3 linked regions of the Ovis aries genome follow. The protein of the gene in region 1 purifies or fractionates together with the protein of each later gene. This does not show direct contact. Links are inferred from orthologs where the notes say so. Each region holds a gene or a part of one and is shown in the gene's direction. Other genes may lie near its edges.

Region 1 (4,241 bases):
TCAGCCTTCTTCACAGTCCAACTTTCACATCCATACATGACCACAGGAAAAACCATAGCCTTGACTAGATGGACCTTAGTCGGCAAAGTAATGTCTCTGCTTTTGAATATGTTCTCAGTCCTACTCACCTGAATTAATACGTGTGTGGTGGAGGGAGAGAGGTGTATAGCCCTCTGTCAAGCATGTTTGATCACAATTAAACTTCTAATGCTTGCATATGGCAACTGTCATTTGAGCCTCAAAATCACCATGATATAGAAGGAACTGATTTCTCCAAGAACACACCAGATCACATAGTGCTTTTTCCAACAATCAAGCTATGTATGAGAGAGAAGAGAGTGTAAAAAAGAGAGAGAAGTGATGTTAAGATTCTTTCCTAAGTCTTTCCTATGTGTCACCTGCTCCGGGCAAAACTAAAGATAATGGTTGTCATCTCTGAATTACATTTTCTGCAAGCACAGCGCTAGCTTTGTATATTGTCTTAACAGTCTAAAGTAAATCTTATTTTATAAAATCTCCAATATTCAGATAGAAGGTAATTTGTTAACGATAACTGGGGACAATTTTCTTATTTGATTTGCTAAATAAAAACTCAAATGCATCACCTTCCCAAAGCCATCCTTTCTGAGTCATAGTACAGGTGATTTTCCTCATAGTTCTCTGATCATAAACAAGCAGCAGCCCAGTACCATCAGTTATTTTAGATTTTCCAAGATGATGCAAGCAAATTTTTCATGAATGCTGCAGTTCTGGTTTGTTTGTTTGGTTGGTTGGTTTTTTGTAGCTTTTCCAAATGTGAATTCCTCTCAAGTCTCTACAATCGAGTCATGATGGGAAAGGAAAAGAGTCAAGGAACACTGAGTTACTAACTAGTTAGGCAACACGACCAGCCAATCCATTTTTGTTGACCACATCTTCCTACTCTGCAAAAGGTTCCAGAAAAATAATAGAAATGATCTCTAAGCTCCCTATTATCTTTAACACTCACTTTGCACTGTGAAGCATCAAGAAAAACTCTGGCGACCTGTAGGACACGTGACTAATGTGGCAACACCCTGGGTCCCTCAAGAGTGGCCTGAACTAGCTTTCAGCAAAGAAGAGGGAGATGAGGTGAGGCTGATGAGGAAGGAAGGCGGTCACTCTTGGAACAACTCTTTCAGGGCCAGTCAGGAATTTACCGGGCGCAGGTGGGTGGGGCGTGTGTCTGCCGGGGTGCCTGCGTTGACGACAGAAGGCTACTTCCGGCTGTGGTGCGTATGACGTCGGGGACCGGCCGAGCCTCCTAGAAGCGGAGGAGGAAGGGCTCGCGAGAGTTCAGGGAGGCCGCCCCGAGATTCCGGCGCCGCGGCGGCGGGTCCCACCTCCCGGGGGCGGGGCGAGGGCGGAGCGGGCAGAGGGAGCAGACGGTCGCCGGGCCGGCTGCGGTCCGTGCGGAGGCTGAGCCGGCCGCGGGCGCGACCGGAGGCAGGTGAGTGCGCTGATGCGGCGCTTCTTCGCGGAGGAGGCTAGGGGTACGGCTTGCCTCTCCGGCCCCAACTCTGAGAGCCGGATCAGGAGAAGATCTTATGTGTCTTAGGGTGTCCAGGGAAAGCCGGGCTGATTTCGAGGCTGGAAATATCTCCGGTGAAGCTCCGGTGACGGCCTTGGCCCTCTTGTTCCTTGGGGTGATAGTGGCCCCGGGTGTCCGGAGAGGTGGCCGGTGGCCCGGGGAGGAGTCTTTGTCCTTCCAGGCTCCTTTGGCCTCTCCCCTCCGCGGTCCCGGAGCCCCGGGCTCTCTGTCCCTGCTTGGGCTTCATAAACAATAACAAATGTCGTGAGGACCTTCCCCTGTATCCCCTGCTCTCCTGTCCCGTGCCCTCCAGCCGATGCCAGCGAGGGGAAGGATTCTGGGCATGGCTCTTAGATTGTGGGGGCTGTTTGTGTACCATTCCTAAAAACTGATGCGTCAGATTCCTAAACATTTCTCAAATAGACACAGTAAAAGCCGTGCTGCTCTCAGAAGCCAAGGAGTGTTTAAAGCCGGTCTCTCAAAATCGGACCCTACCGGTGGAATCCTAGACCCTTCTTTTCACCATCATTTTCTCCCACTCCCTTTTTTTCACCTTTACTACGAGGGGACGAACGAGTGGTTGTTTGGTATGGGTAAAAATAGGGAAGGTTGTGTCCGATGGAGGAAGGAAACATTTCACCCTTAAAAGTTGCCAGGTAGAGAGCAAAAGAACTAACTTTATTTTCAAAATCGGTGGCCTCCCGCTTACTGATACTACTTTTGTTTTATGAGACCGCTTTTCGAATTGTGGATTTGGAGGAAAGACTTAAAAAGAAATGGGGAGGGGGACGGGGAGAGCTGGTGGTGCAGGGAGTAGTGGCTGGTCCAGAAAGTATGATGCTGGTGTTCCTCACTTGATAAAATGCAGAGCCAACGCTCCTGTCTATTTCACGCAACTTGCGATAAGTTTTGATAGAAGCCAATTGCTTGGAAAAGGTGACCTGAGTATTAGCTTTAATACTACTAAAATCTGAGGAAACAGCTTTAAGTGTTTCAGTTATGCCTCCTAGCTGTAAGCTGGGAGTGAGACTTGGTCTTTCAGGGGCTGTGAGTGGGGGACGGGGTTAGGCCTTAATACTTGCCAGGTCTCCTTACTTTAAGGCAGGGTTTATTGTTGTTTAAGCCCAGTGTTGCTTACTGAAGGCAGGTTTTTGAAAGTTCTTTGTCTAGGTCATAAATGTATGTAAGGTACTGGAAGCCTCTTTGTGTTTGGTTTTTCTTTGTATGCCTCAGGATATATAAAACAATTAAGTTTATTATACTGTCTATCCAGTAGCTGAGAGGTATTGTATGTGAACTGACCATTCTTGTGACTATGTGAGGGGAGAGAAATTCCTTCAAAATAGGATGTTAAATTATGATGACATTTGTTCATTGCATAGAATCGTCAAAGTACCTTTCTGTAAAAGATTCTGATCTCAGAGGAAGTACAATGGATAAAAAAAAATTTTTTTTCTGTTTGTTTAATCTGGCTTAGCGTTTATGGTGTTCTCCTTGTTAAGATGGCTAATAACATTCCCCGTTTACTTGGGATATGTTTAGAGTGAGAAACAAATTGGGTGTTGTCTTTGTAATCCTTTGGAAGCCCCTGCCCCTGGGAATGAAAAAAAAATTAGACTTAGAAAAACCACATTAAATGAGTGCAATTCTTCTTTAGCCTTTTTGAGTTTCATTTTAAATAAATCATAGAGTGGAGACCAGAAATATTTGTGCAAATAAGGTGTCCTCAACAGTTTTTATGCTTAAAAAATTAATTTCTAAAGGTAACACGCTATGAAAACAAAGGAAGAATCGTAGTTTGTAGAAAGGGATAATAAAGCAGCAGCCTCAGTTCAGCCATTTGTTCTCAGGAAAGTTCTGTCCTCTCAAAGTTAGGGCTGCAGCATCATGTTAGCAAAGTTGGATAACACTTTAGATAGTGTTTTCCCACTGATCTGGGATCAGTTGGAGGCTCTTTTGCATGTGTGTGCACTTTTTTGAGGGATGGAAAAGGGCACAAATCAAAGCCAGAAAGTTTTGCATCTCAATGTAATGTGAAAATGATTTTATTTTACATAAACAATGGAGGATGAATCAGGCAAGCATATTGTCATCTAGCAACCCCAAGATTATGTTAAAATTAGCAGATGGGTAAGTTATGATTAGGTTGACTTGACATATGTGGAAATTATGCTACTGTATTTTAATATTAAAAACACCATAGACTTTTTGAATGAAATAATGAGAGAGCTTTTAAAGCATAAGAAATTTTAAGAATTAATTTAAAAAGATAACCTTGGTCAGTAGTTAAAAGATATTAAGTGAATCCTTCTTCCCCACCTCCCAAATTTTTGTTTAAGTCTTTAAGAGAGTGTTGACCTAGGTATGTCCGGTACTGATGTGTGCTAATTACATAAAGCTCCTTTCTCCAGGTAAATGTTTTATAATTGATTGACACAGTATTATTATTCAGAACCTTTAGAGAGAGGAAACTGAAGGGCAACAGTGAGTAGTATTTGCTGCCCTGTGCACTCAGATGAACTGTGGGCTTTTTCTTCAGCCTGATGGGAAGAAGATATTCCCAAATAACTGTAATACACAATCCATTTTGTGGGGAAGCCAAGGAGGAAGGGGTTAAATTTTACTAGACCAATTAAAGAAGGCTTTCATCAGGGAAAGGCATTTGTGTAGATGATTGAGATGATCTAGTCAT
Region 2 (4,294 bases), on another chromosome or scaffold:
ATCTGCGGGTGTGAGGGGACATCCGGGGGTGTGAGGGGACATCCGGGAGGTGTAGGGGACATCCGGGGGTGTGAGGGGACATCCGGGGGTGTGAGGGGACATCCAGGGGTGTGAGGGGACATCCGGGGGTGTGAGGGGACATCCGGGAGTGTGGGAGGGGACATCCGGGGGTGTGAGGGGACATCCGGGAGGTGTAGGGGACAGCCAGGGGTGTGAGGGGACATCCGGGGGTGTGAGGGGACAGCCGGGGGTGTGAGGGGACATCCGGGGTGTGAGGGGACATCCGGGGGTGTGAGGGGACATCCGGGGTGTGAGGGGACATCCGGGAGGTGTAGGGGACATCCGGGGGTGTGAGGGGACAGCCGGGGGTGTGAGGGACATCCGGGAGGTGTAGGGGACATCCGGGGTGTGAGGGGACATCCGGGGTGTGAGGGGACATCCAGGGGTGTGAGGGGACATCTGGGGGTGTAGGGGACAGCCGGTGTGAGGGGACAGCAGGTGTGAGGGGACAGCGGGTGTGAGGGCGCATTCGGGTGTGTGAGGGACATCCGGGAGTGTGTGAGGGGACACCCGGGGTGTGACGAGACAGTGAGTGTGAGGGGGCATCCAGGGTGTGAGGGGACATCCGGGGTGTGAGGGGACATCCGGGGATCTGAGGGGACATCCGGGGTGTGAGGGGACATCCGGGGTGTGACGGGACAGTGAGTGTGAGGGGACATCCGGGGTGTGAGGGGACAGCCGGTGTGAGGGGACAGCGGGTGTGAGGGCACATTCGGGTGTCTGAGGGGACATCTGCGGGTGTGAGGGGACATCCGGGGGTGTGAGGGGACATTCGGGTGTTTGAGGGGACATCTGCGGGTGTGAGGGGACATCCGGGTTGTGAGGGGACAGCAGGTGTGAGGGGACAGCGGGTGTGAGGGCGCATTCGGGTGTGTGAGGGACATCCGGGAGTGTGTGAGGGGACACCCGGGGTGTGACGAGACAGCGAGTGTGAGGGGGCATCCGGGGATATGAGGGGACATCCGGGGATCTGAGGGGACATCCGGGAGTGTGGGAGGGGACATCTGGGGTGTGACGGGACAGTGAGTGTGAGGGGACATCCAGGGTGTGAGGGGACATCCGGGGTGTGAGGGGACATCCGGGAGTGTGAGGGGACAGCACGTATGAGGGGACATCCAGGGTGTGAGGGGACATCCAGGGTATGAGGAGACATCCGAGGTGTGAGGGGACATCCGGGAGTGTGGGAGGGGACATCCAGGGTGTGAGGGGACATCCGAGGTGTGAGGGGACAGGCGGGGTGTGAAGGGACATCCCAGGGCGTAAGGGAAAATTCCCGCGCCTGCTCCTGGGGACGCGGCGGCGGGGGGCGGGGGCCGCAGTAGCAGCCGGGACTACCTTTCCCAGCAGGCGTCGCGCTAGCGTCACTTCCGGCAGCGCCCGCGGCGCGCGTGTGGGAGTGAGTAAGAGAGTGTTTACTTCCGGCCGCCGCCGCCGCGGGCTGAGGGCCGAGTGAGTCGGGCGGCGGGCGCGGCGGGCCCCGCGCAGCCATGGACTGGCTCATGGGGTGAGTCCGGCGGCGGGGCGGGCGGGCCGGGCCGCAGGGCGCGCCGCGGGCGGCACCGGTCAAGGACATCCTACCGGGCGGGCGAGGGGCGACCCCGGGTCGGGCCGGGGCCGGGGCTCCCGGGAACGGGTTCGGGGCCGGGCCGGGAGCGGGCCCGCGGCCGGCCTGCGGCCGAGCGCTCGCGCGGAGCGCCGCGTCCCGGGAGCCGGACCGGGGCCGGTGGCCACACCTCGCCGCTGGTTGTCGGGCGGCGGGAGAGGTCGGACCCGGGCTGCTCGCCGGTCAGCGCGGGGAACTTGCTTCTGCAAGAAATAACATTGATGCCGGCAGAGGACAGTCCCTTTAAAAGGAGGGAAAAAGAGCAAAACAACCCAACTCTGCCAGCGTCCGCCGGGCGAGGTCGGCGGGCAGGGTGCGCTCGGCGCTTCCGCGGGCGGCCGCCGCAGGGCGGGGTAGGAAGGAAGCATCAGCACCGGGCCCGGGCCGGGCTCTCCCTCCCTCGGCGTGTGTTGGGCTTGCTGGAGGTTAGATCAACGTGCGGGACGTCACGTCGTCCTCCACAAGTTATTCTACCTGCTTCGGTCCTTTTTTCTTCCTTCCTTTCTGTTCTTTTTTTTTTTTTTTTTTTTCTTTTAACTTTTTGAGGATGGAGAAGGGCAGGCACTTCTCACCCAGTTGGGCGGTCCTTCGTTAGTCTGGCTCTAACGTGCACAGCGCTCCTCTGGAGTCTGGGTAGTTACTCTAGGGCCTTGGGGTGGGAGTGAGGGAGCGCTTGCCTGGCTGGGGTAGGTAGAAGGCTTGTCTGGACACCGAAGACCTGGAAGGGAGGTGAAAGGTCCCGTGTACGTTTCATGTCACTGTCTGATCAGGCTGTTGCTGGCGTAGGCAGTGGAGGGTGCTGGCAGGACAGTCAGCATGAGACCAATGAGACCCTTCCCTGCTGGCAGGTCGGCTGCAGTCTAGTGAAGGGGGAGACCAGACAGCGTGAGGGAGGAGTCAGAAGGCCAAAGACAGGTGCTGACTGCCGGGGAGGATCTGGAGCCAGAGCGCAGGGACCAGGAGGGCATGGTGCTGTGGGGCGAGGCAGCTCACCTGGTTTCTTGCAGAGGCGGAACTCCCATCCCAGCCTTGCTGCTCAATAGCTGTGTGACTCTAGGTGGTCGCTTCTTCTCCAGACCCGCCTTTAAACAGTCATCTGTAACGTGGGAGCCGGGTGACAAGGACCACACTGTGGCGGGGCGCGCTGAGGTGGCCGAGCTCGGTGTGTGGCGCCTGGCGTTGGTGGCGTAGGTGGAAGCCCTGGTGGGAGGCCTTTGTCGCTCGCAGGCACCGAGACTGGAGGGCAGGCAGCGGTGTTATTTTGAACGGTGGGTGCTTGCTTTCTGCCTTTATCAGGAGAGACGGTGTTGGAGGCCACTGGGCCTCCTGCAGGTTGGTTTCAGAAGAGCAGACGAATGGCTGAGTTGGATTCGCAGGCCTCCGAGTCAGGGGGACCAGCCTGGTGAGCGCGGTTGCCGAGGAGGCGGCGGATCGTGTTCTTCTGTCATCATTCTGTGCTCCTGTCTGCTGCTCTGTCCCTGGAAGCTGACCGGCTGGCTGTTTTCTCTAACTGCCCAAGGTCTGTGCCTTGTGGACTTCATGGTTATCATTGTGGACAACCAGAAATTTACCACAGCTGTTCTTGAGGCCCTTGTCAAGGCTATGCACCCAGGTGGCCATCTGGGCAAGGTCAGCAGAGCAGTGACTTTCTCGTGCTCAGTGGCTGGTGCCCGTGCTGGAGGAAGACAGCTTTAAAAGGGACCGTCTTGGAGTTGCTGCCTCTGTGGTCCCTGCGGAGGGAAGGAGCCCTCGCTGCCGCCTGGCTATAAAGTAGGCAGTCCTAAAGTGACTTGAGCTCTCAAGAGAGAGGTTAGGATGGAGTTTGCTTATCTGTGTCTGTGTGTCTTTTTAAACCTGGTGGACTGCGTGTTGGATTTGGTGAATCATGAATTCTTTCACATCTCCTTCACTATGAACCCCCTGCTCCTTAAAAAGAAGGCGGAATAATCTCAGTCGTCACGTTCTGATCCTGAGAACATATTTCCAGGGTGGGTGTCCTGGGACACGAGCTGGGAGCGCCGGGGTGTCCCCTTGTCCATCCCCCGAGTTTATTGAGCATCTGCTGTGAGGTAGGGGGCTGCCGAGGCCCGGACCTCACAGCCACAGGGGACGTGAGCGGTGCAGACCCCAGACCGCCTGCCCTGGTCCACCTGGTGCCTCTGAGGAGAGCTGGCCAGAGGCAGGTGAGGGGCCTGGCTCCTGCTGGCGCCTTTTACGTGCTCAGCGCTGGGGCTGCAGTTGGCCAGGCTGCAGCCTGGAAGAATTGAGGGAGAGTGTGTGTGTTCACTGTTTCTTGATATTTTTGTTGATTTGTACCATCCGCTGTCACCAGGCTGTTTGGAATAGAGATTTCATGTTTTCTGTGTTTTTTGTTCTTTCCAAAAGAAGGACTTTCTTTGCCTTCATTCGTCTTGAGTGACAAAGTGTGGCCGCAAGTGGAGTGGCGAGTGGGGCGCCCTCCCCCTCTCCTGCTCGCCGTCCTGACCACAGGAGCGGCTGACAGACGGTTCTGTGAGCTTGCATCTTCCCCATCGCTGCAGGGCCTTGCTGAGCAAGGCTGGCAGCCTTATCTTCAGCTCTCCCTGTCGTGGGTGAGGAAAGCGAGGCCTGCAGGAAACCTGCTCGGGGAGC
Region 3 (3,943 bases), on another chromosome or scaffold:
ACCCATTTAAAGACCTTTACTCCTTCCTCTCCAGCGCCCCCCCAAACGCCTGCTTGGTTGGGGGGAGTCTGGAAGAGGCGCCCTTCACTCAAGTGGCTGAATCTCTACCCATTCTCCCTGTCCCCCGCCCTGCGCCCTTTAATCTGAGATAATCCTGGCCCTAGGCTGCAACGCAGCCTTTTATCCCGGTATCAAAGCGTGGGTAGGGATACATGAAAATGTGTGGCTGCGGTCGCCCAAGCTCAGTGTAATAGAGTTCTTAGAGTCTGGAACGAGGAAGGGGATCCCAGACGAAAGAGGGAGGGACTGCGAGGAGTCCCAGAGTACCTCGACGGAGAAAGACCCCCTGCGTGCGCACTTCCAAGCTCTTCCACCCCTCCCCCACCTGGCGCGGGGCACCCGCACTGGCCGCTAGTTAGACACTAGCGACACCCAGCGGATGCATGGGGAGCCGCCGTAGACAAGCTAATGAGGCCCGTTAAGTGCGGTCGGGTGATTCCAGAGGGGGCGTGTATGCGCGAATCCCCGCTAAGGAGTGGCAGAAGATGGGGGAGGCAAGAGGGGAAGCTGTGGTCCGAGCCAGGGAAACACCAGGTCTCAAGGCAGGGCCACATCGCCCCCATCTCGACTCCTCGAGGGCAGGGCCACAACCTTCCTTCACTTAGACCCTCCTAGAGCAGGGCCTTGTACCCCTTGTACTGGGAAGGTCCTTTCCCATCAGGCACCATCTCCAGGACAAAGTTAAGTCCCTCTTCACAAAAGACGGGAGCGAGGTCTTTTCGCCGAGGCCGAGCCCCAGTAGTGGGCTCAGGCTGACGTCACTGTGGCGTGGCTAAGAGGACAATCCTCTTTTTCAGTCTCGCCAACTGCCCCCTCTCCCAAGGCTGCCGTAAACGCCCACCGTGGGGTAGCGGGAGATGAGGGGGGCTCGAGGTTGGAGAACCCACCCGTAATTCCCCAGGAAGGGCCTAGTGGAGGCCGGAAGCCGGATGGGGTGAGGTCTCAGCGGACTCCCGAGAGCCGGAACACGTGCGCAGGGCTCTTTAAGAACTTGGTCGCCAGTGCCGCTGCTGAGGTTACTAAGGATGTGACGTCACGCGAGGGAGGGGTGTAAGCGTCAGGGCGGAAGCGGAAGGGGCGGGGCTCCGCGGGCTGTGTCTCAGTGCTGCCGCTGCCGCCGCCGCCGTCGCCGCCACCGCTACCAGAACCCTGGAGGGCTGGGCCCCGAGGCAAGATGGTGGACTACAGCGTGTGGGACCACATCGAGGTGTCTGATGATGAAGACGAGACGCACCCCAACATCGACACCGCTAGCCTCTTCCGCTGGCGGCACCAGGTAGAGCTCGCGCGCCCAGCCCCTTCCCCCACTCCCGGGACTCCGCTTCAGAGTTCTGACCCCCTGATACTGCCGGGGGGCCCCAGCCATTGATACCTGGGATTGCCCCCTACAGCCTGGACTTTCCGAATAGCCTAGGGTTCTTCGATTCAATTCCGGGGCCATAGAATTGCCGGGACCCCTGAGTTCCTTGCCCGCGATGCCGGCGCCGCCCCCCCCCCCCCACCCCCACCGCCCCGCGCTTCCAGTTTCTTCTTGAAACGCCAGGTTGACCTGTACGGTATATTTTTAGAATTTAGACTGCCAAGACAAGCTTTTGACGTGCCTCCCAATCCTGCTTGGGATCTTCCATTTACACCCAGATTTCTACCTCAGAATCTGGATCCTGAACCTAGTCGGGTACCCAGTTAAGATCTTGGCTGTTCCATGGCTCCTCCTAACCCCTGTGCTCAGTCGCTTCAGTCGTGTCCAACTCTGTGACCCCATGGACTGTAGCCCGCCAGGCTTCTCTGTCCGTGCGATTCTCCAGGCAAGAATACTGGAGTCGGTTGGCATTTCCTTTTCCATGGGATCTTCTCGATCCAGGGATCTTTTATGTCTCCTGCATTGGCAGGCAGGCTCTTTACCACTGGCCCCGTCTGGAAGTCCTCCAAAACCCTAGAGTTCCCAATAGTTTAAGTCTGTTCTGCGACCTGCTTTTCTGGATCCTTATGGTTCAGATCCAGAAGTCTTACTCCTCTGAATAAAATAATTCTGTCTTCCCCTGAGATTTCTGTTCCTGGCTTGGGACTCCAACCCACACCCAGGACCCCTCCCCTAGAACAAAGATTGGTACCCCCTCCCCCCAAGGCCCTCAGTCTCATCTAGGCCTGGAATTTTGAAACTTGGGTCCTGTTCAGAATGAACCACCACCTCCACCCTGATGGAGCCTCCAATTCCGGAGGCTCTTCTTTAGCCTCTGGTACTGTTAGACCCAATTTCCCATTACATCAGGAAACCCTACCCACGTGGCTTCCTGCCCAGCCAGAACCCCTGCCCCTCCTTGGTACCTCACACCCAGTCCCCGCCCACCCCCAAGACAGACTTCCAGTGGGAACCTTTGCCAGCTTCAGAATGCCACATTCAAACCCAAGTCCAGGACCCAAATCCATCCCATCTCCCTTCTGACCCAAACTTGGTGTGCTATTCTCAGACATCCACAATGACCCTGCTGTTACAAGGAACCCACCCATCCTGATTCCAGATTCACCGCCCCTTCTTTTATCTATTTTCCCCCAAATACAGACCCCCAGAATCCCAAGTCTGTATGTTCTTTCGACAACCTGCAACCCCCCCCCCCACCCCCGCAGCCGCTCAGCTGTGCTCACAGACCAACAGAATGGCTCTCCTGAGACCTTGTGTGCTAACTTCTTGCTCCACCAACTCAGAGCTCCTACACCCACATTCCAGGGGCTGCTTTGCTCTCACACTTATGGAATATACCTTCTAGAACTTTCCAGTTAGGAAAACCTCATTCTGTCTTCCCATGTATCAGCTTGCAGTTGTTTATCCAGAAACACCTAGAAGCGCCCTTCCTCATCCTGCTGAGACACAGTATCCGTGCCTACATCTAGTCCCAGTTCTGGGTCCAACCCATTACTTAAAGCAGCAGCCTCCTGGCTAGGGCTTCCCTGGTGGCTCAGATGGTAAAGAATCTGCCTGCGGTGCAGGAGACCCAGCTTCAATCCCTGGGTGGGGAATATCTCCTGGAGTAGGGAATAGTGACCACTCCAGTATTCTTGCCTGGAGGGAGAATCCCATGGACAGAGAAGCCTGGTGGACTACAGTCCATGGGGTTGCAAAGAGTCGGATACGATTAAGCGACTAACCCTTTCACCTGGCTAGTGTACCTGGTGGGAAAGCCACTGGAGTGGAAAAAGAAAGTTCTAGTATTTCTCTCTTGCCATATGTGACATTTTATGATGAAATATTGAAGCTCTCCGCAAAGCTTTAAAGCTCATTCTCGGGAACACCTATTCTTGTCACGAAGTTGATCTCTATCACCAGGTTTGGTCCTGCTGGTTTGGGAGGCCATGCCCGCTCTCATACAGCATCCTCCTCTCACCACGCCCTACTCCCTCCTGGCGCAAAACCTTTCCCTGTCCAACCGCTGAGGACCCAGGGCTGTCGTGGAGATGAGTGGAGGCAGGGAGCCTGGTGTCTCCAGCACGAGGTTCAGCTGCCAGTGACTGGCAGCCTGGGCTCCAGCCCTGCCACAGGACCATCACTGCTTTGGGGGAGCGAGCCCTCCGCCTCCATGAGACTGTCGTGAAAATGAAATGAGATTAGATCTTGAAAGAACTTGGCTCGGCGCCTGGGAGGAAAGAGTAAGCAATACCAAGAGTGGAAGAGGGGATTAGCCAAAAGGTAGCCTGGTACCCTTGTGAGCGCAGGCCTGCCCGACTGGGTTCATATCCTGCTCCTTCTGCATATCACTGACTTGCTGTGATCCAGTGAGGGTTTTTTTTTTTTTTTTTTTTTAATTAATTTGACCGCACAGGGTCTTAGTTATAGTGTGCTGGATCTTTAGTTGCAGCATGTGGAATCTATTAATAGTTCCCCGACCGG

Evidence for each region.
Region 2: the proteins of STK38L (region 1) and MOB2 purify together in Homo sapiens (affinity purification with mass spectrometry; 9 studies listed by BioGRID and IntAct, counting the BioPlex papers as one, with this or other methods). This does not show direct contact. The link is inferred for Ovis aries from reciprocal best matches to the Homo sapiens genes STK38L and MOB2.
Region 3: the proteins of STK38L (region 1) and CDC37 purify together in Homo sapiens (affinity purification with mass spectrometry; 3 studies listed by BioGRID and IntAct, with this or other methods). This does not show direct contact. The link is inferred for Ovis aries from reciprocal best matches to the Homo sapiens genes STK38L and CDC37.

What each region holds. Positions count from the first base shown.
Region 1 is NC_056056.1:188,234,207-188,238,447, reverse strand, and holds the start of STK38L (serine/threonine-protein kinase 38-like), read left to right. Parts: upstream 1-1,432; 5' UTR 1,433-1,468; intron 1,469-4,241. UniProt on the Homo sapiens protein: Involved in the regulation of structural processes in differentiating and mature neuronal cells.
Region 2 is NC_056074.1:46,387,448-46,391,741, forward strand, and holds the start of MOB2 (MOB kinase activator 2), read left to right. Parts: upstream 1-1,490; 5' UTR 1,491-1,547; coding exon of another isoform or gene 1,548-1,564; intron 1,565-1,993; exon of another isoform or gene 1,994-4,294. UniProt on the Homo sapiens protein: Stimulates the autophosphorylation and kinase activity of STK38 and STK38L.
Region 3 is NC_056058.1:12,789,707-12,793,649, reverse strand, and holds the start of CDC37 (hsp90 co-chaperone Cdc37), read left to right. Parts: upstream 1-1,139; 5' UTR 1,140-1,234; coding exon 1,235-1,336; intron 1,337-3,943. UniProt on the Homo sapiens protein: Co-chaperone that binds to numerous kinases and promotes their interaction with the Hsp90 complex, resulting in stabilization and promotion of their activity. Inhibits HSP90AA1 ATPase activity.